7 linked regions of the Macaca mulatta genome follow. The protein of the gene in region 1 interacts with the protein of each later gene in a pairwise test. Links are inferred from orthologs where the notes say so. Each region holds a gene or a part of one and is shown in the gene's direction. Other genes may lie near its edges.

The links.
Region 2: the proteins of BYSL (region 1) and MRFAP1L1 interact in binary tests that used the Homo sapiens proteins (3 or more experiments, as listed by UniProt). The two-hybrid records come from large-scale screens. The link is inferred for Macaca mulatta from reciprocal best matches to the Homo sapiens genes BYSL and MRFAP1L1.
Region 3: the proteins of BYSL (region 1) and MID1 interact in binary tests that used the Homo sapiens proteins (3 or more experiments, as listed by UniProt). The two-hybrid records come from large-scale screens. The link is inferred for Macaca mulatta from reciprocal best matches to the Homo sapiens genes BYSL and MID1.
Region 4: the proteins of BYSL (region 1) and CEP70 interact in binary tests that used the Homo sapiens proteins (3 or more experiments, as listed by UniProt). The link is inferred for Macaca mulatta from reciprocal best matches to the Homo sapiens genes BYSL and CEP70.
Region 5: the proteins of BYSL (region 1) and EMD interact in binary tests that used the Homo sapiens proteins (3 or more experiments, as listed by UniProt). The two-hybrid records come from large-scale screens. The link is inferred for Macaca mulatta from reciprocal best matches to the Homo sapiens genes BYSL and EMD.
Region 6: the proteins of BYSL (region 1) and MTUS2 interact in binary tests that used the Homo sapiens proteins (3 or more experiments, as listed by UniProt). The two-hybrid records come from large-scale screens. The link is inferred for Macaca mulatta from reciprocal best matches to the Homo sapiens genes BYSL and MTUS2.
Region 7: the proteins of BYSL (region 1) and myomegalin interact in binary tests that used the Homo sapiens proteins (3 or more experiments, as listed by UniProt). The two-hybrid records come from large-scale screens. The link is inferred for Macaca mulatta from reciprocal best matches to the Homo sapiens genes BYSL and PDE4DIP.

What each region holds. Positions count from the first base shown.
Region 1 is NC_133409.1:140,250,714-140,254,809, reverse strand, and holds the start of BYSL (bystin), read left to right. Parts: upstream 1-1,289; 5' UTR 1,290-1,353; coding exon 1,354-1,621; intron 1,622-4,096. Other genes in the region: MED20 (mediator of RNA polymerase II transcription subunit 20), read right to left, coding at 798-811. UniProt on the Homo sapiens protein: Required for processing of 20S pre-rRNA precursor and biogenesis of 40S ribosomal subunits. May be required for trophinin-dependent regulation of cell adhesion during implantation of human embryos.
Region 2 is NC_133410.1:6,327,531-6,331,439, forward strand, and holds MRFAP1L1 (MORF4 family-associated protein 1-like 1), read left to right. Parts: upstream 1-1,210; 5' UTR 1,211-1,460; coding exon 1,461-1,844; 3' UTR 1,845-3,395; downstream 3,396-3,909.
Region 3 is NC_133426.1:10,388,096-10,392,420, reverse strand, and holds the start of MID1 (E3 ubiquitin-protein ligase Midline-1), read left to right. Parts: upstream 1-1,463; 5' UTR 1,464-1,792; intron 1,793-4,325. UniProt on the Homo sapiens protein: Has E3 ubiquitin ligase activity towards IGBP1, promoting its monoubiquitination, which results in deprotection of the catalytic subunit of protein phosphatase PP2A, and its subsequent degradation by polyubiquitination.
Region 4 is NC_133407.1:41,502,797-41,506,384, reverse strand, and holds part of CEP70 (centrosomal protein of 70 kDa), read left to right. Parts: intron 1-2,020; coding exon 2,021-2,167; intron 2,168-2,337; coding exon 2,338-2,506; intron 2,507-2,999; coding exon 3,000-3,114; intron 3,115-3,588.
Region 5 is NC_133426.1:160,532,441-160,536,633, reverse strand, and holds EMD (emerin), read left to right. Parts: upstream 1-1,316; 5' UTR 1,317-1,414; coding exon 1,415-1,496; intron 1,497-1,619; coding exon 1,620-1,724; intron 1,725-1,889; coding exon 1,890-1,967; intron 1,968-2,181; coding exon 2,182-2,315; intron 2,316-2,769; coding exon 2,770-2,819; intron 2,820-2,903; coding exon 2,904-3,231; 3' UTR 3,232-3,638; downstream 3,639-4,193. UniProt on the Homo sapiens protein: Stabilizes and promotes the formation of a nuclear actin cortical network. Stimulates actin polymerization in vitro by binding and stabilizing the pointed end of growing filaments. Inhibits beta-catenin activity by preventing its accumulation in the nucleus.
Region 6 is NC_133422.1:8,972,011-8,976,144, forward strand, and holds the start of MTUS2 (microtubule-associated tumor suppressor candidate 2), read left to right. Parts: upstream 1-1,289; 5' UTR 1,290-1,491; coding exon 1,492-3,738; intron 3,739-4,134. UniProt on the Homo sapiens protein: Binds microtubules. Together with MAPRE1 may target the microtubule depolymerase KIF2C to the plus-end of microtubules. May regulate the dynamics of microtubules at their growing distal tip.
Region 7 is NC_133406.1:119,938,537-119,942,124, reverse strand, and holds part of myomegalin, read left to right. Parts: intron 1-11; coding exon 12-224; intron 225-2,962; coding exon 2,963-3,121; intron 3,122-3,588. UniProt on the Homo sapiens protein: Functions as an anchor sequestering components of the cAMP-dependent pathway to Golgi and/or centrosomes.

The sequences.
Region 1 (4,096 bases):
CATTGATAGGTTCCTGGGATAAAAACTTTGCTTTGTCGGCCGGGCGCGGTGGCTCAAGCCTGTAATCCCAGCACTTTGGGAGGCCGAGACGGGCGGATCACGAGGTCAGGAGATCGAGACCATCCTGGCTAACACAGTGAAACCCCGTCTCTACTAAAAATACAAAAAACTTACCCGGGCGAGGTGGCAGGCGCCTGTAGTCCCAGCTACTCGGGAGGCTGAGGCAAGAGAATGGCGTGAACCCGGGAGGCGGAGCTTGCAGTGAGCTGAGATCCGGCCACTGCACTCCAGCCTGGGTGACAGAGCGAGACTCCGTCTCAAAAACAAACAAACAAACAAAAAAAAAAACAAAAAAAAACTTTGCTTTGTCGACACCAGCCTGGCCAATATGGTGAAATCCCATTTCTACTAAAAATACAAAAAATAGCCGGGCGTGGTGGTGGGCGCCTGTAGTCCCAGCTACTCGGAAGGCTGAGGCAGGAGAATCGCTTGAACCCAAGAGGCGGAGGGTGCAGTGAGCCAAGATCGCACCACTGCACTCCAGCCTGGCGACAGAGCGAGACTCCGTCTTAAAGAAAAAAAAAAAAAAAAAAAAACTTCGCTTTGCTTTCCCGCCTTCCAAGAGGAAGGGGCGCATCTCCGAGGAAACAAGGCCGGGGAACCCGCGGCTCGCACGGCATCCTCTCATCCACACAACCCGAGGACAGCTCCCAGGGGACGGCGGACCACGGTCAAGGTCCTCTTTTCGGCCCTTCACAACTCCAAGCTCCGCCCCACAAAACCCCCTGCAGTCCTACCAAGTCACTCCCATGGCGTCGGGCCAGGAAGGCGGCCGGATCACACGGTAGAAACGCAGGGTTCCCTATCCGCCCACAGAAACTGCTTCAGTTCCCCAACACAACCTTCGGTCTCGGAAGAGACTCCGGAAATACGTAAAAACAGAGCGCCGGGTCCACGCCTTCCCCAAGGAGTGGGGCGGGTCTCAGGGCCACTCGGTGACACCTCCAGTGACATCATCTGCGGATTCCCGCCCACAGGTTTCTAAATCCAGACATTCTCGTTTGGCTGAGCACTCTAGGCCTAGACCCATGAAGCTAAGAGCGACACTCAAAGACTGCACTGTTGAGAGAAGCTAACGTTAAAGGCTGTGAATATATTGGGGAGTCCAGCTCCGGAACCCGGGAGCTCTTTTAGTGGGAGGGGCGGCGCTGATGGTGCTTCTGGCCTCCGAATGCTAGGGGGCGCTGTGATCGCCGCGTGGCCTCTTGAGAGCCGGGAGTCCACCGCGCAAGCGCAATCTGGCTTTTTCGCCGTCCCCACGTGCGAACCTCCGCGGCAACGTTTTCGAGAAAAATGCCCAAGTTGAAGGCGGCCCGTGGGGTCGGGGGTCAGGAAAAACATGCGCCCCTGGCCGATCAGATCCTGGCTGGGAATGCGGTGCGGGCAGGGGTCCGGGAGAAGCGGCGGGGTCGCAGGACCGGAGAAACGGAGGAAGAGTATGTGGGACCCCGGCTGAGCCGGCGGATTTTGCAGCAAGCACGGCAGCAACAGGAGGAGCTCGAGGCCGAGCATGGGACTGGGGACAAGCCCGCGGCGTCGCGGGAACGCACCACGCGGCTGGGTGAGTGTCTGGGATGAGATCCGAGGAAGACAGTGGCCAGTAGTGGGGCGGGGTGGACAGCTAAAAAGTGTCTGGCAGGGGAATTGCTTCGAGTCAACAAAGGGTCCGTATTACACTTGCAAAAGTAATGGAATGGGAAACTGAACCCTGTTCAGAGCCCTCCGCGTCCACTCCTAGTTTTAGGCACTCCCTTCTACACATCCCCTAAGTTAGGCCAACAGTAATCGCTCGCTCCACCCTAGCATTTATCCATTGGTTTTGTAAATATATATGGGATACCCACTACGAGCTTTGTACTATGCTCGGAGTTCTATCGAATGTTTGGGTACAGAAGTAAACAACATAGGCACGTCTGACTTAAGGACCTTACAGTCAAGCCCAGTAGAGAGTCAATTAAGTAGACTCTTAGAATAATATTTTTCTATGATAAAGTGTCGCTTCCCTGGTAACAATAGCATTGGTCTTGAGAAGCTTCTCCGATTGCAGCAGGACCTTTTAAGTTGAGAACTGAAAAACGAATGGGAAGTGTTATGAGCAGAAAACACATTGTTTAGCAGCCAAAGAGGGAGAGAGATGAAAGACGTTTGATATTTTCTCGCTAGGGAGGGAGTGTTGACCTCTGAGATGCTTCATCCGTTTTCCAGATCTCATCTAAAGCAATATTTGACGCAATTGAATAGTGGCCTCCTGGCCACAGTATCCTTACTTGGGTTTTAAGACATCAACACTCCTGTTTTACTGCCACCTCACTTCTCAGTATCCTTGACTGACTCCTATTGCAACCTCTTATCCTCAGTCCTCTGACCTCTTCAAATATTCTCTGGTGCTGGCAAGTTTCGTGGTTTAAATACCATCTCTTGGGTGACTACTCCTAACTTTATAGTCTAGCCCTGACCTCTTCCATGAAATCCATATTCTTATATTCAACTGCCTATTTGGCAACTCCAATTTAAAATCTGACAGCTCAAATTTAACATGTACAAAACAGAAATCTTGACCTCTCCAAACCTGCTTCTCTCACCATTGTCTTCCCCGTCAGTAGCGTATTCTTTCATTTGCTCAAGACAAACTTTAGACTCCTGTATTTCTCTCTCCCCGTCTCTCCCTCTCTCCCCCGCCCCATCTCCTCTCTCTGTCTCTCCCTCCCCACATCTGATCTGTAAGAAAATTCTGATGACTCTGCCTTCAAAGTATATTCAAAATCAGACCACTTTTCACCGCTTTGGAACACCATCCTGTTGAAGCCACCACAATCTCTCACCTGGATTATCACAGTAGCCTCCTCGTTAGTATCTCATATTCTCCTTTTTTTCTTTTTCTTTTTTTTTTTTTTGAGATAGAGTCTCTCACTCTGTCACCCAGGCTAGAGTGCAGTGGCACAATCATAGCTCACTACAGCCTCAATCTCCTGGGCTCCAGCTATCTTTCCCACCTCAGCCTCCCACATAGCTGGGACCACAGGTGTGTGCCAGCATGTCCAACTAATTCTTTTTTTTGTTGTTGTTGTTCTTTTTTGAGACGGCCCAGGCTGTAGTGCAGTGGCACGATCTCAACTCACTGCAACCTCTGCCACCTAGGACCAAGCAGTTCTTCTGCCTCAGCCTCCTTAGTAGCGAAGATTACAGGCATGAGCCATCACATCCAGCTGATTTTTGTATTTTCAGTAGAGATGGGGTTTCACCATATTGGCCAGGCTGGTCTTGAACTCTTGACCTCAAGTGATCCGCCCACCTCAGCCTCCCAAAATGCTGGGGTTACAGATGTGAGCCACCTCACCCAGCCACTAATTCTTTAATTATTTGTAGAGATGAGGTCTCACAGTGGTGCCCAGGTTGGTTTCAAACTCCTGGGCTCAAGTGATCCTCTCTTCCTTGGCCTCCCAAAGTGCTGAGATTACAGGTGTGAGCTACTGCACCCTGCCATATCTCATACTCTCTACAAAGCACTCCACAGGTAGGGGATTACAGTGGTCTACAATGCGCTTTATGATCTGCCTCCTTTACCAGTCTGACTTCTTCCACTGCTTTCCTCTGCGCATTCCACTCCACCTATACAGGCTTCGTTGTGCCTTAAACATGGGAAATTAGAGCGTTTGGCCTGGTTGTTCCTTCTCTCTGGGATAGTTTGTTCTCATACACTTGTAGGGTTACTTTCTCAGAGAGGCCTATCTACTCCATTTACGATTGCAGCACTCTACTCCATCTCCATACTTCCAATATTTCTGCCCTATCTTTTTTCATAGTACTTTTTTTTTTTTTTTTTTTTTTTTTTTTTTTGAGACAGAGTCTCGCTCCATTGCCTAGGCTGGAGTGCAATGCTGTGATCTCGACTCCTCCACCTCCTGGGTTCAAGTGATTCTCCTGCCTCAGCCTCGTAAGTAGGTGGGATTACAGGCGCCTGCCACCACGCCCAGCTAATATTTTTTTTTTGTATTTTTAGTAGAGATGGGGGTTTTGCCATGTTGGCCAACCTGGC
Region 2 (3,909 bases), on another chromosome or scaffold:
GAAGTGCCAGCCTATGTCTTTTGCCTGTTTTAAAATTTTGTCTTTTCCTTCTTGATCTGTAGGAGTTCTCAATATATTCTGCATGAGTCAAATATCTTTTTTCACGGTGCCTTGCTCTTTCCCTCTTAATGTTCTTTTGATGAACATCTGCTAGAATGTTGGTGTTTGCAAAACTGTTTCGCACACGTCATCTTACAAATCCCTCTTCCCACTGACAGATATTCAGGCTGGGGCCATTGGTCTTTATCAGACTGGAAAACTGAAGTTCTGATCTGTGGCACTTGTGTAAGAAGGATCCCCCCTCTACACACACTCATATTACTACTAGTGTGGCACTGGGTGACTAAGCCTAGCAATAGACTTCTTCCATTCCACAATGGCATTAGGTTGGTGATCAAAACGTATTGACGATCAAAGCCACATTTACTAGGTCCCTGCTCATTTTCAGGTCTTGTGTGTGGAGGGACATAAAGGTGACCAAGACCAGAACCTGTCCCCAAACAGCCTCCAGTCTGGTAGAGGCACTTAGGTACTAGGCAATTCCTCTCTCTAAAGCATTCTCTAAGGCCCTGCTTGACGCCAGGCTGACGGAAAGGGCGGAGGACAGAACTGAAACAGAAGTTGCCCTTTACCTTGAGGACCTTACAGACTCTGAAGAGAGACCAAAAATCACGGGCCAGAACCACCCAAGGCAGCGAGCGAAATTCCCCCCAGAACAAAAGTATGAGCCAGGGGTGGGGAGGACAGAGGGACGAGTTCCATTCTAGAACACTGAGCAGGGACTGTGGACCCACATTGCTTTGAGCTCAAATCACGACTTTTAGCCCGGTTTTTACTTCTCTTATAGGTTCGTTGTGAGGGCTAAGTGAATTCATATAAATTAATCCAAGCTTCTGCATGCTTAGATAGTAAGCGCTGTGAACGCCAGCCAGTCTTATTCAAATATGCGGAAGGGAGGGTCATTTTTACTTTAAAAAAATAATAATAAAAGTAAAACCCCTCTGAAGGGAAGCTTTAGGGGAAGACGCGAACAAACCTGCCGCCACCAATCTAAATTAGAGAAGAGGGCGAGGCGGGGCGCCGGGAAGCTGACGGCCATAGCCATGCGCGCGCCCGAGACCCCTTTACGTGCGCGCGCCCGCTACTGGGTCTCGCCGAAGGCGTGACCGTAAAGGAGCCCGGCTCTGTCGTGAAAGGGCCGCAAAAAGGCCGAGGGCGAGTTGACGGCTGCGACTCCATTTCGCAGGTCGCTTTGCTGTGTGTATCCACGGCGATTCTTCCCACGGAGTTCCAAAGCTAAAGGCTTACAATTAAAAGGAAGAAAAAAATTAAAGATAATTCGGGAGTACTATTGACAAAGCGTGTGGGCTCAGCCTCCAGCAATCACTGCTGATCTCCAGTCCCTGGGGGGTTCCGGTAAGAAGAACGCCCCTCCGGTACTGAAGAAGCGGCAGGAGGAGATGCGGCCCCTGGACATAGACGAGGTGGAAGCGCCTGAGGAAGTGGAGGTGCTGGAGCCGGAGGAGGATTTCGAGCAGTTCCTGCTCCCGGTCATCAACGAGATGCGCGAGGACATCGCGTCTCTTATACGCGAGCACGGGCGGGCGTACCTGCGAACCAGGAGCAAGCTGTGGGAGATGGACAATATGCTCATCCAGATCAAAACGCAGGTAGAGGCCTCGGAGGAGAGCGCCCTCAATCACGTGCAGCACCCGAGTGGCGAAGCCGACGAGAGAGTGTCGGAGTTGTGCGAGAAGGCTGAGGAGAAGGCCAAGGAGATTGCGAAGATGGCAGAGATGCTGGTCGAGCTCGTCTGGCGAATAGAGAGAAGCGAGTCTTCTTGAAGGAGGAAATCGGCGGTAAGGTCGGAAACTCGCGGGAGCTTGGATGGAACTCAGTAGTCGCCCTAAGCATGGTTAAACCGCGCCCTGTAAAAAGTTATGTTCTAGGCCTGCATCCCCCATTTTATCGCATCAAAAATTGAGCATTGGGAACAAAGTTGGGGTCAAGAGGAAAGAATGCGTGCTGGTTTTGTTAGGTGTTAGTATACCGTTTTTTTGTGGCCTCTCCCTCCCACACTGGTAATTAGAGAAAAATAAAAGTAACTTCGGGTTTGTTTTTGTGAAACGTAAGTCAGTTCTAATAGGGCAGTCGCCAGGAAGTAGACCTGTCTCGGCACTAAGGGAGTTTGGGGAAAGCCACAGAAGACCTAGGCTGTGGAGCACAATGGAACGCAGGCTGAGAACGCAGGGAAAGAAATAAAAGAGTAAAGCCAGAGGCCATTACCTGAAATTTCCAGACTGTTCTGTGAGACAGGTATGTCAGAGGACCGTGTCTCAAAGAAGTGGCATTCTTCTGGGTGGTTCACATTTATTTTTAACATCAAGATATGGAACTTTGAGAGTCAATGTCTTCATGGTAAATTTCTCCCAATTGTGCTTTAGGTTCACAGCTGAGGACTGTAGTCGACTGGTAAGGATGAACTGACACCTTGAGGAAACTGAAACAGCTTGTCATTTTCTCTGTTTTGTTTTTGTATGTTTTTTACCCCCATGTAACAGTCTCCCTTATGGTCAGTGATTGATGACCTCGATATGGATTTAGATCATCAAATGTGTTTGGTTCTGGAAATACAACTTTTGTCGAAGAAATACTTTCACAAGAGAAATGGGGCTTAATTAAGTTGTTTTCGTGGTCACGTTTACTCTTGTTACTTCGCTGTGTTTTTGAAATGTTGGGCATGGCCTTGTATTTTGCTGTTACCTTTGTGACCTGATCGTTTTTGGGAACACGTCAAGACTTGGGATCAGAATCTTCCAACTTTAGAGGTGCAGTGGAAGATACTACGCTGCCTGGTTGAGCCTGGTGAAGAATGTATTAATGAGACTGCTTTGCATAAAGCTGGGAAGAACGAGAAGACAGTTGGAGATGGAAGGTGGTTTTGTATATATTTTGGAACTTTAGTTCCTCTGTGAGATGAAAGAGGAGAGCTATGTTTTGTGGCACATTGTCTGATATATATTGTGTAACCTGTCAGGTGAGTTGATTTAGACCACATAGCTGACCTTTTATGACAAGGCAGTTTGATTAGGAACTGTCGTAATACCCTCACACATTACAGGGGCATCAGAGAATGGCATCGAAGAGACAGTCTACAAAGAGCTTTAAGAGGCCAGAGAAAGGAAAAGACATTATCAGGGCCTGGAAAGTCTCTTCCAGTTCATCAGGGTAGTAGACCTGTCAGATTGGAGGTCAAAGTCAAACGTATAGTAAGTATTAATTTGCCTTGAAAAACAAAGACCTAAAAAGCCTTTTTTAAAAAATAAATTTTTTGTTCACATGACCAAAGCCCCTCCTGTGTGTGTTAATAAAAGAATCATAAATCAATCTTTTTGAAATGGATGTTCTTCACTGAGTGTCATCAAATGGGGTTGAACTGCTTGTAGTTAAAGGCTCTTGGTCAGCCTTTAACTGAGGGAGAATTATTTCTGGAAGGTGCTGTGGAGATGAGCTGACGGAACACTCAGTTCTGAAGAGAAAAACTTTTCGGCTATCCTCTGGGCCAAGCCCCTGCTTTTCAGCAGCAGAAGTGTGTTTAGTCAACCAGTGGGAATGTAACGTGCTTCATATCTTATCCAAGGCACTAGGAACATAAAGGTGAGACGTGGATGGGACGAAGGTGTGGGACAGAAATGGAAACAAGGAATTGCGATATAGAGTGTGTGGATATCATGTGGGAGCCCTGAGGAGGGAGTCAACTCTTAGTAGGGAAGTGTGTGAATTCAGAGCAGGTGACTTACCTGGGCCTGAAAAGTAGAAATGAATGAAGACATATAAGGCATAAGGATCAAAGTGAGCAAAAGCCTTTTGAGTTCCAGCACTGGGGAGACGGCCAGTGAGCTGGATGTT
Region 3 (4,325 bases), on another chromosome or scaffold:
ATTTTATAACCCAAATTTATATTCAATAAAAATACACTCTCTATCTCATTTTATGATCTTTCTGGAGACATTTAAAGGGAGTCATGTTAGCAGTAAGTTATGACTTTATAAAAAGTATTTTAATAAGTTTGTATATTGCATTTAAATTCTCTGGACATATGATTATTAAAAATTATATTTGAACATGGAAAATTGCCATTTTAATGTTCTTCTGTCTCTTAAAGTTGATTCTATTTTGGGAAATGCTATTGGAGTTAAATTCTTTATCTGGGGTTTTGGATTTGCCAAAAACTGATCATGAGACTTTGGACCAATCACTTTATCTCTGTAAGCCAAATTTATTATTGTGAAGAGGAAATACTACACACTTCACAGTGTTCCTACAGAGATAAGAAGAGAAATTGTATGCAAAAGTCTTTGCCCAGTGGAAATTGCTATCCAAAAATAGTTATCCTTCCTGGCAGTGCAATTTTTGTTCCTTACTCATCTCAGCAGAAGCTCTTTGACATTGGTTTGTGTTGGTGCTCACTTAGGTGGCATCTGAAGATTCATTTTCTCGCTTGTCTTAAGCAGAGACCTAAAACAGCCTTGAGCTATTTTTAATAATGTTGCCACTACTCAACGAGCAGTCAACCCATGGATGAAACAAAAACAAGTGTTTTGTTTTGAGATAGGTCCTTTTTAGCAGACAATCTTCATCTCTAGTACATAGGAAAGTCTCAAGTCTCTATATTGTCTTCAGTGGAATTGGCTAGAATTTTTTAAAATTATTACTTTACTAGGTGGTAGATAAAATGTAAGGGGAAGAGCTATAGAGTTCTTTTAAAGATATATTTTCTTGTCTTCTTAAATCGAGGAAGTTGTTTAAAAATGTTTACATCCAAGTATGCAAATTCACAAGTCTTAGATTTCTTTCCTGAAACCATCAAATAACACATCAGCATGCGGGCTTAGGAGGGTTGTTACTGGAATAGATGTCATTATCTATCATTTTGCCCATCAAAAAATACAGTAGTGATTACTGCATTGTAAAGGGAGAAAACTCAAAATGATTGTTTTGCATTATCTACCAAAGGCCTGGGAAAGTTGAATAAGTGTTCGTTACTATGCTCAAATAAGGCATTTGAGCCTTACTTGATGGAGGTTTATTCACATTCTCTTTCTGTCACATGTTCTATTTACTTCTTTGAAAATAATCTCAAGTTCAATTACTCTGGTTTTAAAAACATGAAAGACAACTTATAAAATGCTACACTTTTTTCCCCTACAATGCCTTCAGATAATATAAGGCTGGTCACAGCCCATGATATAAAATACTAGCTGTTGACTCACAGTTACACTACAAGGGCCAATTTTACAGACTGCCAGGATAAAGATGATTTTAATTAAATTGCATAAATCCTTTTGTACTGCAACCAAACCCCTACGCAGGCTGACCGACTCTGAGCCATTCTGGCGTGTGTAGAGTTAACCAGGTTACCAGGATTCCTAGTTAACTTCTTTCACCAGGAATGCAATTCATGTTTACCTATATAAGGAAACCTGTTAGACTGACCTGAGTTTGGCGGATTTTCGCGCTGACTGAGAGGCGTGTAAGCACACACCCTGGAGAGGGGGAGTGATTCTGAGCTGGACAGAGCAAGCTTCCTGAACGCCCCAGCCATTCAGCTGATCCGAGGCAAAGAGCCGGCACTTGCCCCAGACCAGCCTGCTTGGAGGACCTACAGGTTTGTCTCTTCCAGATCACAACTGAGGAACAAAAACCCCTGTCCTGGGAAAAATGGGGAAGCCGGTGAGTCTTACCACTCTCTCTCTGCTTGCTTCTGCTAAGTGGCACGCCTGTCTGCTCTCACCCAGGAAGCAAAGTAAAAGGCGTTGCTCAGCCTCTAACCCCACAACTCCTTCCTGAACAAATACAATGCTTTGCGAATACCTCCAGACAACTTTTTCTGCCTGTTTTGCACACCAAGAATCCACAGAGGGAATGATTTTTAGCACTTTAGACATTCCAGAGAGTGTTTTTCCTAGGCAAGCGTTTCTATACTATCGTGATGAGCAAACTTTCTCATCTTTGTTACACTCTAAAACAGTGGAAATTAGCCTTGGGGTGCTTTGTGAGGAAGGCTGAGTCCCCAAGGAAGTGATAGTAAATCTAAATGGGGTTCTTAAAACCACAGGCAGTGTGATGGTCTACAAAAGCCTAATTTGTCACTAAAAAGGCAGTCTGAAGGTATCATTTTTCATTCACACAGCAGCAAAATCCTTGCGTCCTGCATATGTAATAAAGGACACCTTCTGAGACACTTAGGAAAAATAGAAGCCGAGCTGGCCTCTTTGTTCTAGACAATGTAAAGAAGCTCGCTCTTGTGTTTTGACAAGGAGCGTATGTCTATTTTTATATATGGCGAGAATGGTGTATAAAGGCTTTATGTCAAAGGTATTGTGGTCACTTGAGTCAAAATCTGGCTATATTCTCTATGTGTACAAAAATCTCAATCTGAATGTAATTAAACATGGAAATGTGAAATTGTTTAACAGACTTGCAGGGAAATTTTAGTTATATTTGGGAACAGCCAACTATAAGAGACAACTGGGAAAGGAAAAAAATTGTTTCAACTGAGTTCTGGGGCAGAGGTAAAACTTTTGCAAAGAAAGTCAATTTTTTGTAGCTGTCAAAAGTGATTTGGAATCAGGTAAAAATTTTTATTTTTATTTTTTCGTGGTGATGTGGTTTTTTGAGTTGAATTAACTTGGATAATTGTGTTGAATGATTTGACTGCTCATCTTTCAAAGGAATGCTGTTGTTTTCTGTCATATACAAACTTAATCCTGAGTTTGGGGAGCAGGTTTGTGCTACTGACTGCAACAAGTGGCACAAAGACTCAATTTCAGATTTCTGATATTATGAAATTAATTACTTAAGTTAATTTAAAGAAAAGTAATCAGTGCAAACAAGCAGATTTGAGAAAATGACCACCTTTTTAAAAAATGCAAGTGATAGTCCATTTCCTAGTGAGACTATTGATTTCATACAGGCATTGGCAACTGCCTAGTCATAGGGACAAAAGCTATGGCCAATTTTCTCTAGGATCTTTGACTCTAGAAAGCATAACTTTCGCAAGGACACAGTTTAAATGAAACTTGTTCACCTCCGTGAGAATGAAACATAGAAAAGCACCGTGTATAATACAATGGACATTTTAGTAAATAAAATTCTTAATAGCACAAGCAGCAGAACAGAAGGGACAATGCAAATGTTTTAAAGTTTATCTCCTCAGTGCTGCTCAGAAAAATATGAGTCTTGACATTCTGTTGCTGTCAATGGGAGTCAGCAACCCAGGAGACACAAAACACTATTTTAGAATATACAGTTAATAACAGATGGTTTAATACCAGGTTGTCTCACCCTGCCGATGAGATGGCCCCAAGCCAAATCAGCCAGCACGTCTGCCGTTTTTCCTGTGAGTTGATATGTACATAGTTATTATGCACTAATTACACTAACAGCCAAGGGAATATATAACCAGAAAGACAGATAAGTCTCCTGGGGTAGGGAGGGCAAGGGGGCGGTGTATGCATAGGGTTTTTAGATCTCATGTTTAGAATTATCCTTGCCAGTGGCATATGAATTATTGCAGATGACTGGGAGTCTCACGGCTAGAATCTACTCATCCCTGGCTCCTCAGCAGCCTGTTTGGGGGTAATAATATTGTTTATGGTATTTAACAGTTTAGTGTTAACAAAGTTCCAGGAGGATTCCTTCTTAAAGATTAAAGTTTTTCCAGTGTCTGAACTAATCCTCCAATTAAAGACAGTTAGGACCTATATTGTTGCATTGACCCTTTTCGAGTCACAGTACTGTGTGCTTGCATGGAGGGTTGAACGATTCAGCAGCCTCCTTAGATCTGCAAGATGTTATTAGGTGCCCTGGTTAAAAGAGGTTGGAAAATACTGGAGAAAAAAAAAAAACAAACAATGGGAAATAGGTCTTCTCAGAGCCTTAATATGTTCATTTACTAATACGTGTTTTGACTCCCTGAGAGAAGTATAGTGTGCACCATATGAAGTATGGTTTGCTGCAAACCTACTTGACGGCTCGTTTCTAGGGTGATCATTCTGAGAAACGATCTGATATTATGAAATTAATTAGCTTCTCAATGGATGGACCACAGAGCACTAGTAAATGATGAGTGGGTTGCAGACATACCCAGTTGTTGACCCCTCTTGGCACATGGGCCATCAGGCTGTGGCTGGCCTGAGCTGATCCCTGGAAAGTTATTTCTGGATCACATAGCTTCCTCAGTTTACCTCCATATATGGTGCAG
Region 4 (3,588 bases), on another chromosome or scaffold:
TACACTCTTGAATACTTTCGCTTTCCTATTCTCTAGTGCTTCAGAGGCCAGACATACACGGTAGGCTGGCCCATGGTAGTACTTCTACATCTCCACAACTGGGCAATGTAAAGAACCTAGGAGACTCTTATATTTTTCAGAGCTTACTTGATAGACTGTGCTACAACCATCCTGTCACTGCTTAGGAGACCAGAACATCTTTTCTTCTTAGCTTTGTAATACTCTTTTATTCTGAAGCAAAAATGTATTAGATTGGGTGTGCTTTTTACCATAGATTACTTTATAAATGTGCCTTGTTGCTGGAGCATTGGTTAATAAAGATATCATTATGCTGTTATTTGCTGACTTTTTTTTTTTTTCAAATTCTAGTGGCACTGATGGTAAAACATTCATTTAACATGAAATTTATTGCTATGAATTACTATAATAGTAACTGCCTTCCTACCAATTGAAAGGTTAAAGATACCAATATGTGAAGTCTGAGCCTTAAGTGGAGAATGCCAAGTGAAGTACTAAAATAAGTTAGAAAAAGAAGGAACTTCTTGTACTTCTTTCTGTTCTCTAGAGCTATGCTATCTAGTATGGTAGCCTCTAGCTGCATGTGGTTATTGATCACTTGAAAGGTGGCTAGTCCTGATTGAGATGCGTTATAAGTGTAAAATATACACTGGATTTAAAAGACTTTGTATGGAAAAAATTAAAATATTGCTTTTATATTGAAATGATAATATTTTGGATATATTGGGTTAAATAAAATATACTATTACAGTTAATATCACATGTTTCTTTTCACTTTCCATACTATGGCCCTAGACAACTTAAAATTCCTGTGGCTCACATTACATTTCTTTTGAACAGCATTGTTCTGAAGGACCAAGCACTGTGCCATACACATATGGATTGAGTATCCCTTATCCACAATGCTTGGGCCTAGAAGTGTTTTAAGAATTTTTTCAGACTTTGGAGTATTTGCAGAATATATGCCATTTGAGCATCCCTGATCCAAAAATCCGAAATTCAAAACGCTCGAATGAGCATTTCTTTTGAGTGTCATGTTGTTGCTCAAAGTTTCAGATTTTAGAGCATTTCAGATTTTTAGATTAGGGATTCTCAACCTGTAGTAGATGTTCAGTAAATATTTGTCAGTTGATCAGTTTAGAGCTCTAAACTTTCAGTAGCCTTGCCCATTGTGCACAGTTTAAAATCAATTAGGGCACCACAACTAGGCCAAGAAAACTGAGTATTATAATGTAGAATAAATTTGGGGAACCTTTCACATTGAAAACTTGCCTAGAGATACATGTTATAACATGGATAAATCTCAAAAACATTATGCTAAGTGAGAGAAGCCATTCATCAAAGACTACTTATTGTATAATTCCATTTATGCAAAATGCCCAGAATAGGCAAATCCTTAGAAATATAATGTAGTTTAGAGATCAACCCTAGGAACTGCAGGGAAGGGAAAATGGGGAAGGAGGGACTGTGACTGGGTCTGAGATTTCTTTTTGGAGTAATGGATATGTTCTGAAATTAGATAGTGCTGATGTTTGTACATGTGTGAAAATATTAAAACTACTGAATTGTATACTTAATGAGGGTAAATTTTATGGTATATGAATTACATCTCAATAAAGCTGTTATATAACATACTCAAAACCAAAATACAAAGGCAAGTTTATTCTTTGTGTATCAATAATTCAAAATAATGAAATAATATGGAACAATAATAAATAACATAAAATTACTTAGAGCACCCAGATTCAGAATAATCAGTGTATAATGTTTTCTGTAAAGCCTGTGTTTACCTGGAGAAACCTAATTTTAACTGACTTGTTCTAAATTGGTAATAGTGTTTTTATTAAACAATACTGATGGTTATATATATATAATTTAACCTGTGTAATTTTTTATTAATTTTATAAAACATATATAAAACTTATAATTTTGTTATGTTCTATTATGTTACTATTGAAATTATTTAAATCAATAATACCATATAGTTTCTTTTGTTATAAAGGATTTGTATAAGTCCTTGAAAACACTATCTGCAGAACTGGTACCTTGGCATAATTTGAAGAAGCAGGATGAAAATGAAGGTATCAAAGTTGAAGATTTGTTGTTTATAGTAGATACTATGTTGGAAGAAGTTGAAAATAAGGAAAAGGTAATACTTACATAAATGGTCACATTCTAATGTTCTCTTATCTCAAAAATTGATAATTTGATGTGGATATTAATATTTGTTCTACTAGAGTTCTGTTTGTCTTTTAAAAGTTTTTATTTGGGATTATTTTAAGATATGAACTCTTTATTTTTTACCTCTCTTTTGGACAGGACAGCAATATGCCAAACTTTCAAACTTTGCAAGCTATTGTCTCTCACTTCCAAAAGTTATTTGATGTGCCTTCTTTAAATGGAGTCTATCCCCGAATGAATGAAGTTTATACTAGGCTTGGAGAAATGAACAATGCTGTGAGAAACCTCCAAGAACTCTTAGAATTAGGTGATGACCTAGTTTGTCATTTTTGGCCCCCATTTAAGAATTTTTAGTAAATTAACAAAAAGTAGATAATTTTTTTTTTTTTTTTTTTTTTTTTTTTTTGATACGGAGTTTCACTCTTTTTGCCCAGGCTGGAGTGCAATGGCATAATCTCGGCTCACCGCAACCTCCGCCTCCCGGGTTCAAGCGATTCTCCTGCCTCAGCCTCCCGAGTAGCTAGGATTACAGGCACATGCCACCATGCCTGGCTAATTTTGTATTTTTAGTAGAGACGGGGTTTCTCCGTGTTGGTCAGGCTGGTCTTGAACTCCCGACCTCAGGTGATCCACCCATCTCAGCCTCGCAAAGTGCTGGGATTACAGGCGTGAGCCACCGCACCTGGCCGATAAAAAAATTTTTAAGTGAAAAAAATTGAGGATAACTGAAGCATAAAATGTTTGATGTATGTAATTTTGAAAATTCTCTGTTAAAATAGCCTTTTATTTCTCTTTTGCAGATAGTTCATCTTCATTGTGTGTGCTGGTAAGCACTGTTGGAAAACTCTGTAGGCTGATTAATGAAGATGTGAATGAGCAGATTATGCAGGTATTAGGACCTGAAGACCTCCAGAGGTATTTGTTTTAAAAGTTTACAAAGTATCATCCAGAATGGCCGGGCGTGGTGGCACACGCCTGTAGTCCCAGCGACTTGGGAGGCTGATGTGGGAGGATCACTTGAGCCCAGGAGTTTAAGTCCAGTCTGAGCAATGCAGTGAGACCCTGTCTCTAAACAATAAAAATAAAAATAAATATTATCCAGAATTCATGGAGGGGTGAAATTAAAGACTTTTAAAACTTATTTACCTTCCCTGTTTGGAATAGCATCTTTTCTGTGTGTATGTGACTATAGGCACACACCACCACGCCCAGCTAATTTGTGTGTGTGTGTGTGTGTGTGTGTGTATAGAGAGAGAGAGACAAGGTTGCACCATGTTGCCCAGACCAGTCTCAAACTCCTGGGCTCAAGTGATCCACCTGCCTTGGCCTCCCAAAGTGCTGGGATTACAGGTGTGAGCTACCGTGCCCAGCCTTGGAATAGCATCTTTT
Region 5 (4,193 bases), on another chromosome or scaffold:
CGCTGCAGCTCCCCCCAGTGCCCCGGGTGAATGAACGGCATGAAGGATTAGGCGGGCACACGTTGTCTCTGTACGCATCGCACGGCGCCCTCTGCCCGCGCCCACTGGCGTGCCCGTCGGCATGCCCGGGCCCCTTCGAAGGCTGCTTGCTTCTGGAGTGCCAGCGGCCTCCTGGCCCAGTGCCCCATTTCCTCCCGGGTAGAGTGAGGGAGGAGGAAGGGAAGCAGAGAGGTAGGCGGTGGGAAGCAGCAGGCACATGTGCGCGGGCGAGAGCCCTGCAGACTGGGAAGAAGGGCCCGTGGCAGGGGGTCTGCGGAGATCCCATAGGCGCGGGCCTTGCCCCGCAGCCGCTTCCCGAGCAATGCGCACACAAAGCGCCCCCGGCAGTGCCTGGCCCCGGGCCCGCGCTCTCTTAGGGTCCGCTGCCGGGGCGGCCGACCGGGATGCGGCCGGGAAACCCTAGGCTCTGGGGCCCAGGAAAGGGGGGCGACGGCGGGGAGCAGGGATGTGCAGGGACCGGGCGAAGTCCAAGTGACTTAGGGACCAGAGCCACCCCAAGCGCCGACTTCGCCCGCTCGCACGTCCCGGGTCCCTAGCGCGCAGGCCCCATCCCTCTCACCCGGCTGGCTCAAGCGCGCCACAGGGTGACGTCTTGGCTCCCAGCCGTGTCGCCCTGACTCCCGCGCGGGCCCCGCCCCCTGCCGCTAGCCAATCTATGCGTTTGTGACTTTTGGGCCCGCAGCCCCGCCTACTCCCACTGCGATACCAGTTTGCATTGCCCTGACTCCCGCGCGGGCCCCGCCGCCTACGCCGCTAGCCAATCCGTGCGTTAGTGACGTGTGGCGCCCCTCGCGGCGCGGCTTGCTCCCACCGCGAGACCTTCTGCCCCGCGCCCGCGCGGGCCCCGCCTCCTCCATCGCTAGCCAATCCCCATGTTTGTGACGTAAGGGCTCTCCGCTCCGCTCGCTCCCAACGCAAGACCTTTTGCTCCGCGCCTGCGCGGGCCCCGCCCCCTCCATCACTAGCCAATTCCCGTGTTTGTGACATATGGGCTTGCGGCCCCGCCCGCTCCCACCGCGAGACCGGTTCCCACCACCCTGACTCCCGGGGGCCCGCCCCCTCTGCCGCTAGCCAATCCGTGAGTTGATGACGTTTGGGCTCGCGGCCCCAGCCTCCCAGCTCTCAAGGCCCGGCCGGTCTGTGCCGGCTACTCCCGCCGTTAGGTCCCGCCCAGCGCAGCGCGCGCAGCCTGCGAAGCCAGCGGCCGTGACGCGACAGCGATTCGGCTGTGACGCGAGTGCGGCCGCTCCCGATGCACTCGTGCCGCCCCCGCCGTGCTCCTAGGCAGCCGTTGCTCGGCCGGTTTTGGTAGGCCCGGGCCGCCGCCAGGCCTCCGCCCGAGCCCGCACCCGCCATGGACGACTACGCAGATCTTTCAAATACCGAGCTGACCGCCTTGCTGCGCCGGTACAACATCCCGCACGGGCCTGTAGTAGGTACGCGGCGGCGGGCGGGACCCCTTCCGGGCCCCCTCCTCGTGCTCCGCCCCGCGACCTCCCCGCTGCCCTCCCCGCGCCCCTTCCCCGGACCGCGGCCCTGACCGCCCCGTGTCCGGCCAGGATCAACTCGTAGGCTTTACGAGCAGAAGATCTTCGAGTATGAGACCCAGAGGCGGCGGCTCTCGCCCCCCGGCTCGTCCGCTGCCTCCTCTTATCGCTTCTCTGGTGAGAGCCTCGCCTGTGGGGACGGCCTGGGACGCGGGGAGGATGAGGTAGCGAGGGTGTGGCAGGGGTGCCGGTCGAGAGCGGCACTGGGGAAAGGGGAGGGAAGTCTTGGGGTGGGGGTGGGGGTGGGGGGGCAAACAGTTCTGTCTCCTCCTTTCAATCCAGACTTGAATTCGACGTCAGGGGATTCAGATATGTATGATCTTCCCAAGAAAGAGGACGCCTTACTCTACCAGAGCAAGGGTAAGGCAGGGGTTGGGTGGGCACGCTGGCACCTTCACCCGACTGCGTCAGGGACCCCGCTCACAGGGAGGACCTGAGACCTCAGTCCCAACCACTCCAGCAGCCTTAGGAGGGAGAAACTGTCACAGGTCCCGAAATGGGATTCAGATTAGGGCCATCGGGCCAGGCGGGGCACACCGATGCCCCCTCTGCTACCGCTGCCCCCCTTCCCAAGGCTACAATGACGACTACTATGAAGAGAGCTACTTCACTACCAGGACTTATGGGGAGCCCGAGTCTGCGGGCCCGTCCAGGGGCTTCCGCCAGTCTGTGACTTCACTCCCAGATGCTGACACTTTCCACCACCAGGTGAGCTGGTTGGCAGGCGTACTGTACTTGGGTACAACCTAGGGGATCGCGGCTGTGTTTGGATAAATCCAGGGGGCCACTGGGTACAAATGGTGGCCCTTGGGCCTCTGGGGAGACTTTGGCTCAGCAGACACCTGTTTGGTCAGGGTCCTACTTTGGGGAGCCCTCAGAACTATGTGACTAGAGCACATAGGATGCGTCCTGCACCCTGGTCTGGGATCTAGGCTCCAGCTCTTCCTGAGAGTCCTGGGGGCAAAGGGGGGTGCTGGGGCATGAGCACAAGTAGCAAGGCCCCATGGATAAAAGGCCGAACACCCAGAGTCATTCAGGAGGGTGTGGGTCCCTGGCCTTTAACCAAAGGTCAGAGGGGACCTGCTGGGGAAATTTGAGAGGGACGTGGCAGGGCCATTGTGGCCCTGCCAGCCAGTTCCCTCACCTTGACTCTCTTCTACAGGTACGTGATGACGACCTTTTGTCGTCTTCTGAAGAGGAGTGCAAGGATAGGTATGTATGTATGGGGAAGGCCAGGGACAGGGGCTGGTTCTGGACCCAGGCTCCTGGCCCACCTGTTCCCCTCTTTTGCCTCAGGGAACGCCCCATGTACGGCCGGGACAGTGCCTACCAGAGCATCGCGCACTACCGCCCTGTTTCAGCCTCCAGGAGCTCCCTGGACCTGTCCTATTATCCTACTTCCTCCTCCACCTCTTCTATGTCCTCCTCATCATCTTCCTCTTCATGGCTCACCCGCCGTGCCATCCGGCCTGAAAACCATGCTCCTGGGGCTGGGCTGGGCCAGGATCACCAGGTCCCACTCTGGGGCCAGCTGCTGCTTTTCCTGGTCTTTGTGATCGTCCTCTTTTTCATTTACTACTTCATGCAGGCTGAGGAAGGCAACCCTTTCCAGAGGGAGCCATGAGGGTCTGGGCTTCAGAGCCAGGTCTTCTGGGGAAGTCCTGGCTGACTGCCTTAGCAGTGGGGGTGGGGGTGGGGGTGGGGGCAGGGGCAGGGGCAGGGGCTTTTATGTGTTCTTGCTTGGGGGGCGCTGGGCCTAGCCCAGAGTAGTGCTTGCTCCCCCTGCCTTGTCCCACCAGGGAGGCAGCAGATTCAGGCCCTCCATGGGGGCCTGAGTGTGCTTTCCTCGGCAGCCTCCTGGCCCTGCTTGCCTGTAACCCTTAGGGTCCAGGAGGGCAAGGCCTCGCTCAGTCAGAGGAGAACATGGTTCTTGTTGTCATGCATGCCTCCTTTTTGTCATCTTGTTGGGGGGGATTAACCAAAGGCCACCCTTTGTTTTCGTGGACACACAATAAAAACCCCATTTATTTTTAATGCGTTGGCTCTTCCTGGAGGAGAGGGTTGGGCTCCCATGGCAAGGGCCTCTGCGTCTTGGGACTCGAGGATTGCAATCTGGCTTTGTTGGGTCCGCATTTTTGCTTTGGTCTGGGGATAGGAATCAAATGCTACCCAGAGATGTTTGTGTTTTGTTTGGGAGTTTTATTCCCTAACTCATTCCCCAAAGCACCTGTAACTGCTTATACATATAATTGTGGTACAACAAGGCGTATACAGAGAACCCACTTAGAAATTCAGGCAAAGCAGCCGGGCGCGGTGGCTCAAGCCTGTAATCCCAGCACTTTGGGAGGCCGAGGCGGGCGGATCACGAGGTCAGGAGATTGAGACCATACTGGCTAACACAGTGAAACCCCGTCTCTACTAAAAATACAAAAAAGTAGCCAGGCAAGGTGGTGGGCGCCTGTAGTCCCAGCTACTCGGGAGGCTGAGGCAGGAGAATGGCGGGAACCCGGGAGGCGGAGCTTGCAGTGAGCCGAGATCGCACCACTGCACTCCAGCCTGGGTGACAGAGCAAGACTCCGTCTCAAA
Region 6 (4,134 bases), on another chromosome or scaffold:
GGCCCTGAGGCAGGGAGTAATGAACATGGTACTGTGAGGAATGAGGCCAATGTGGCAGCAGCCTGCAGAGCAGATGGTGAGGTGGGGATGAGGCCAGAAAGGTGTTCAGGGCCTGATCATGCAGGCCGCGAAGGCCGGAATGAAGCGTTTCCCCCAAGTTTTTATTTTGGAAAATTTCAAACTTATAGAAAAGCTGCAGATGTAGTAAAATTCTTAACTAGATATTCAAATGGTTGACTTTTGCCAGTTTCTTTCTCTCTTTTGCACACATATGTCTCCTTCTCATATGCACACACACATACATACACATGTTTTTCTTGGTTGAATCATTTGAGAATAAGTTAGAGAAATCATGACATACTACCCCTGAATTCTAAAGCATGGATATTTCAAGAACAAAGATGATCTCTGGCATAATTATAGCACGATTATACACCCAAGGAAATTAATTATGACATACCTGTACCTTATATACAGTCCATATTTACATCTCTCATTGTCCTAATAATATCCTTTGCTAACATATTTTGAAAATCCAGCCTCTGCTGACTTTTTTTTTGGGACCAGTTAGGCCAGTTATTTTGTAATACATACCTCAATTTAAATTCGCCAGGTTATTTTCTCATGGTTAAATTCTGGTTGAACATTACTGCATAGGTGATGTGTGGCCCTGAGAACTAACTAATATCAGGAGTCCGTCATGTCAGTTTCGATACCAGTGATGTTAAATTTGATCACGTGGTTAATGTGGTGTCTACCAGATCTCTCCATTGTAAAGATCAAATTTTCTTTTTGTAAGAAATAAAGTAGCTGGGGGAAAGATACTTTAAGCATCTATAAATATCTTGTTCCCCAACAATCTTTTACCCAATGTTTGTACCTTTGGCATCCCTTGTGCAAGATAATTATTAATGCAGAGATTGCAAAATAGTGATTTTTCAAATTCTGTAAATTTTTTTCTACATTCGTTGATGCTCTTCTGTAAAGAAGAGCCTTTACTTCTCCTTCACCCTTTTAAATCAGTATCAGTATAGACTTGTGGATGTTTAAAATTTGGATTTAAGATTTCACATGCATTTATAATCCATTTCTAACATTAAACATTCTGATGTTTAATTTCTGTCCGTATTTGGTCAGCAGGAGCCCTGATCAGAAAGGTTTTTGAGAAAACTATCGAGTGAATGAAATAATAGTATAGAAATGACGAATAAATCTGTGTTTACCACTTTTTTCCTCCTGAGAAGTTCTATTTGTCCATCTAATGTGAATGTATTTTTATTTCTCTCTAGGTCTCACGGACTAATTGGCTCTCATTCAGCCGGAACCTAGTTCCTGCTGTATATCAAGAGAATGCTTGCTTTTCAAGCTCTTCTGAGAATGATTAAAGCAGTGTCACAAGCTGACATTGTCAGGGGAGGACAAGCAGCCTGAGAATTTCCTATTAATCTGATTGCAGCTTGAAGGCAGCCCATTTCCATTAAGTAGGACTGCATGGCAAGCAGCCCCACCAAAGGGTTGACAATGAGCGTCCCAGTGGCTCCTAAGAAATCATGTTACACTCAGCTGCGGGACAACAGAAATGCAGCAAGAAATAATAATGAGAGCATCCTAAGTCTGGGAGATACAAATGCCAATCAAATCACGTTGGAGGTCAGCTCCTCTCATGATGAGTCCAAGACATGTGACCTGGAAGATGAAATTGGAAATACAAATTCAAGTGAGCCAGAAAACCGTACCCATTTCCATAAGGAATTTCACCAACTTCAGAGCTTTGAGAAGGGATCTCAGCCTGGCTCCACCAGCCTGAAAGATTTTAGACTTTCTTCAACCATTCAGAGGGAACTCAATGAGGAGCACACAATGGAGAGAGGCGCAGATAGCCCGCAGACCCCGCGGAGTATCCAGGGACCGAGTCTGTCGAGTTGGAGAAATGTGATGGGTGAGGCCAGTCTAGACGTTTTGGCTAAAAGGGATGCTGAAATTCCCCGGCACGTTCCCAAGGATAAATTGGCAAAGACCCTCAACAATGAGGAACTGAGGAGGCATTCTTTGGAAAGAGCAAGCAGCTCTGTAGCTGTAGTCGGGAGCCTGACTCCGCAGCATCCACAGCCTGCACCCCTTGACTCCCAGGAAGCACGGGGTCAGGTGCCTGGGGGTGGGGAGGGGCCACAGAAGACATTGCCAGACTGCGCTCTCCCGGCAGCGTTCCCTCCAACTGACAGTACCTCAGAGGGAAAGAGTGTGCGTCATCCTAAACCATCTACCTCAGAGACCAAGCAGAGCACCCCCTCAGAGACCCAGACAGTGGGAGCACATGTACTGCGGGTGTGCAGTGAGCACATACCACGTTCCGCCCATCCAGAGCCTGCTCTGAATCTGACTTTGACATCGAGGGAAATCCCGAGTAAGCCAGAAGCACAGTTAGGTCAAGGAAAGGCAGAGGCCAAGCTGGAGCTGAAATATGTTTCACCCAGGAGGGTTGAACAGGAGGGAAAGGCAGCCCAGGAAGGGTATCTGGGATGCCACAGGGAAGAGAATCTTTCAGCCTTGGAGGGAAAGGATCTGTGTGGGGAGGCGCACCCAGAAACCACCGATGCACTTGGCTCTCTGCCAAACAGTGACCTCCACCACCTTGGGGTGGGAAGAGGCAACAGTGAAGAGAAGAGAGGAGTCAACCCAGGGAAGCCGGATTCTCTCCACGCCACCCCCAAACAGGCCTCTGCTTCCTTAGGAGGGGCTGATAGTCAGCCCACTGGCAACATTTCACCATGTGCAGGTGGGAAGTTGGGTGAAAGGACATCCGGCAGCTTTTCACCAGGTGATGGTCATGTGGCTTTTATTCCTACTAATCTGACTGACAGCAAACCCTTGGATGTCATTGAGGAGGAAAGGCAGTTGGGCAGTGAGCAACCCACAGTGGACAAGGACAGTGTTACAGTTCTGGTGTTCAATCCTTCCGTTGGAGAGAGCCAGACAGAGGTGCCTGAGCCCCTGGAACCTCAAAGTGGCAGCTCAGAAGCACGGGAAAGCAGAGAGATCACCACGTCTGTTGCTGAAAGCAGGAACCTTCTAGAGAATGCAGATAAGATTGAACGCACCTCAGCAAGAGTAGATTCAGTTCTCAATATTCCAGCACCCCTCCTCCCAGAGACAACTGTGAACATGACCCACCAGCCTACAACACCCAGTAGCCGTTTTCAGGATGTTAGCGTGTTCGGTATGGATGCAGTGTCCCCCTTGGCGGTACCACCCCCTGCTGATAGTGCACGCTTGTCGAACACATCCCCCAAAGTGCCTGACAAGAACGCCTGCCCCAGTGGGATCCCCAAGCCTGTCTTCACACATTCCAAGGACACACCTTCCTCGCAGGAGGGAACGGAGAACCATCAGGTTGAAAAAACAGAGGAGAGGACAGAAACCAAGCCCGTCATTATGCCCAAGCCCAAGCATGTGAGGCCCAAGATCATCACCTACATCAGGAGGAGTCCCCAGGCCCTGGGCCAGGTGGACGCCTCGCTGCTTCCAGTGGGGCTTCCATACGCCCCGCCCACATGTACCATGCCTCTTCCCCATGAAGAGAAGGCTGTGAGTGGTGACCTGAAGCCGTCTGCCAACCTCTATGAGAAATTCAAGCCGGACCTGCAGAAGCCAAGGGTCTTCAGTTCAGGATTGATGGTGTCTGGAATCAAGCCCCCAGGACATCCTTTCGGTCAAATGAGTGAAAAGTTTTTGCAGGAGGTAAGAGAATGTCATCATGATATGGTCTGTAAGTTGACTGTCCCAAAATCTGTGACATATTTTCAATGAGTTATGAAAGTAAAATGTCCTCTTTAAGTGAATTGCAGATTTTCATGGATACACTGGTGAAGAAATGGAGTCTTTGACTAGAGGAGATTGTCTAGAGAAATGACCATTTTTAATTAGAAGAGTCTGATTCTCTTAATAAGATGCACCCAGTATCTCAGGAGACCCATTGAAATTTCACTTGCTATAATTCGTATGAAATTAGATGAGTATGCATTAAATAGGCTTCCATGTTTAAATAAGTGAATATAATATAAGCCAGGTCAAAGGAAGAAAGAATGCCAAATTACTGTATTCTTCAAATAGATCAGACTCATTCCTCAATGGGGA
Region 7 (3,588 bases), on another chromosome or scaffold:
TCTCTTTTCAGAGCTCAGAGGGTACTTCCCCAGCTCAGCAACAGGTGGCTCTGCTTGATCTTCAGAGTGCTTTATTCTGCAGCCAGCTGGAAATACAGAAGCTCCAGAGGGTGGTACGACAGAAAGAGCGCCAACTGGCTGATGCCAAACAATGTGTGCAGTTTGTAGAGGCTGCAGCACACGAGAGTGAACAGCAGAAAGAGGCTTCTTGGAAACATAACCAGGTAAATCATTAACTATTTTATTGCCCTAAATGCTGACTTTGCCCTGATAATAACTTTTTAGCAGGATAGTTTGTGTTGAACCCTTGAATCACTTGCATAATCTAAGTATTTCAGTTCGACACTTGCTGCCCTTGTACCATATGCTAGTTAGAGTAGTCCCCCTTTATCCACAGTTTCACCTTCCATGGTTTCAGTTATCTGGGGTCAACCACAGACAAAAAGCATTAAGATATTTCAAGAGAGACCACATTCACATAACTTTTTTTTTTGAGACAGAATCTCACTCTGTCTCCCAGGCTGGAGTGCAGTGATGTGATCTCTGCTCACTGCAAGCTCCGCCTCCTGGGTTCATGCCATTCTCCCACTTCAGCCTCCCGAGTAGCTGGGACTACGGGCGCCTGCCACCACGCCCGGCTAATTTTGTTTTTGTATTTTTAGTAGAGACGGGTTTTCATCATGTTAGTCAGGATGGTCTCGATCTCCTGACCTCGTGATCTGCCTGCCTTGGCCTCCCTTACGTAACTTTTGTTACAGCATGTTGTTGTAATTCTTCTATTTTATTGTTATTCTTAATCTGTTAGTATGTCTAATTTGTAAGTAAACCTTTATCATAGTTATCTATGTACAGGAAAAAACAGTTATATACAGGCTTCAGTGCTATCTGGTTTCCGGCATCCACTGGGCGTCCTAGAATGTATCCCCTGTGGGTTGAGGGGTGATTACCATATTGAGTTGTGCCCTGGAAATACAAGGATGAATAGCACAGGCTCCTTTCTTTTAAGTTACTTATAGTTCAGTAAGAGAGACAGTCGCATAAGCTGAGTTTCAGAGTGGTAAATTCTGAAGGGGATGTATATATGGAGTCCTACAGGAATATCTAGGAAAGGAGTCAAGGAAAAGGAATCAAGGAAAGCTTCATGAAGGAGGAGACATCTGAGGTTATTCTTGAAGGATGGTTAAAACCAGTCAGAAAAGTGGGGACGAATCACTAAGGTCAGAGGAATGACATGCATAATAATCAGCCCTGTCTTTTATTTTTTATTTTTGAATAATAAAATATACAATTCTTTTCTTTCTTTTTTTTTTTTTTTTGAGACAGAGTCTCACTCTGTCACCCAGGCTGGAGTGCAGTGGTACTATCTTGGCTCACTGCAAGCTCCACCTCCCGGGTTCACGCCATTCTCCTGCCTCCGCCTTCTGAGTAGCTGGGACTACAGCCACCTGCCACCACACCCAGCTAATTTTTTTTTTTAATTTTTAGTAGAGATGGGATTTCACCATGTTAGCCAGGATGGTTGTGATCTCCTGACCTTGTGATCCACCTGCCTCGGCTTCCCAAAGTGTTGGGATTACAGGCGTGACCCACCATGCCCGGCCTTTTTTTTTTTTTTTTGAGACGGAGTTTCACTCTTGTTGCCCAAGCTGGAGTGCAATGGTGCAATCTTGGCTCACCACAACCTCCACCTCCCGGGTTCAAGCGATTCTCCTGCCTCAGCCTCCCAGTAGCTGGGATTACAGGTATGCACCACCATGCCTGGCTAATTTTATATTTTTAATAGAGACAGGGTTTCTCCATGTTGGTCAGGCTGGTCTCAAACTCCCAACCTCAGGTGATCTGCCCACCTTGGCCTCCCAAAGTGCTGAGATTACAGGCATGAGCCACCACGCTGGGCCAAAATGCACAATTCTTAAATGGTTCCTTTATCTTGTTAGCTTAGAGCGTATATGTTTAAGATTTAAAAGATTTTTTTTTTCGTGGTCTCTTTTCTTAAGCTCTTTAACACTCAAGTTTAAAAGTGTAATTTTTGAAGGATCTCCCTGGTTTAGTGGTTTGGAGATTAAATATTAGCCCTGAATTTCCTTTTGAAATATTAAAATTTCGGCTGGGCACAGTGGCTCACACCTGTAATCCCAGTACTTTGGGAGGCCGAGGCCAGTGGATCATGAGGTCAGGAGTTCAAGACCAGCCTAACCAAGATGGTGAAACCCCATCTCTAGTAAAATTACAAAAATTAGCCAGGCGTGGTGGCGGGCATCTGTAATCCCAGCTACTTCGGGAGACTGAGGCAGAGAAATGCTTGAATCTGGAAGCCGGAGGTTGCAGTGAGCCGAGATTGTACCACTGTACTTCAGCATGGGCGACAGAGTAAGACTCCATTTCAAAAAAAAAATTAAAATTTCAGATGTCTGGGCAGGGTCAGGGAGTGGTGGAGGATGGGGGTAGAAATAATTCTTAACTTTTTGTTATTTGGCTAAAGGAAACATTTTCCCAAGATTTGTTTGGTTGATGAGAATATGTATTTTGGGAGCTCTCTAAAGTAACAGATGATTTAAAGATTACTGACTTTCTTATCAGAAAGATAAATATGGCAAGCTAAGAAAGAAGAGTGATGGTCTCTATGAGATCTTTAGAAAAAAGGATGATAGGAATAGTTTATCCTTGAGCTTACTGTAAATAATCTAGGTTTACCATAGGACAGATTCTCATTTAATGGTTCTACACATGTATCCTTTTTAAGCCAAAAAATAAGTATTGAACTATAATTATCAAGCTTACGTCCTACCCATTCACAACTTTTACAATTTTCCATTTCCCATTCAATTCATGTATAATACTTCTATAGCAGTTTTAATAATGGCATCCTCTACCGCTCTTTCAGTTTATATACCTTGAAAATTTTAAGGCCTCTATATATAACCATGTGACAATTTTAGATCTCTTAATATGTTTAATTCAGGAATTGCGGAAAGCCTTGCAGCAGCTACAAGAAGAATTGCAGAACAAGAGCCAACAGCTTCGTGCCCGGGAGGCTGAAAAATACAATGAGATTCGAACCCAGGAACAAAACATCCAGCACCTCAACCATAGTCTGAGTCACAAGGAGCAATTGCTTCAGGTGAGTTTACATGATTTCAATGAAAACTGGGCTCATAGAACTCTGAAATTTGTTTATATAAATTTAAGATATTATTCCACCAGTGTTGAGTCCCTGCTATAAGGCAAACATTGAGAGGTGGGAATCAAGAGGATTTAAAATAAATAGAAAGTATAATTTGTGAATTAAGATGCTTACTAACAAGTGTAAGAAACAGTACATATAGCCCTGATTTAAGCAGTCTTTTATGAAGTCTTTTATAAAGACTTAATATTCAGAAAATAGTTATTAAGCACCTCTGTGAGTCACACACTTTTCTGGGCGTTGGGAAGACAAAAGATTTGGCTACTGCTCTCAGTTTAATAGATGAAGACAAACTACAGAAACTTCCAGAGTCATTTTGATGATGGAATGAAAGTTTGAGGGGAAAATGGAGCATTAAGAAGAGACTGATCTCTTCTGCCACCTACTCTAAGCTTCAGTCACAT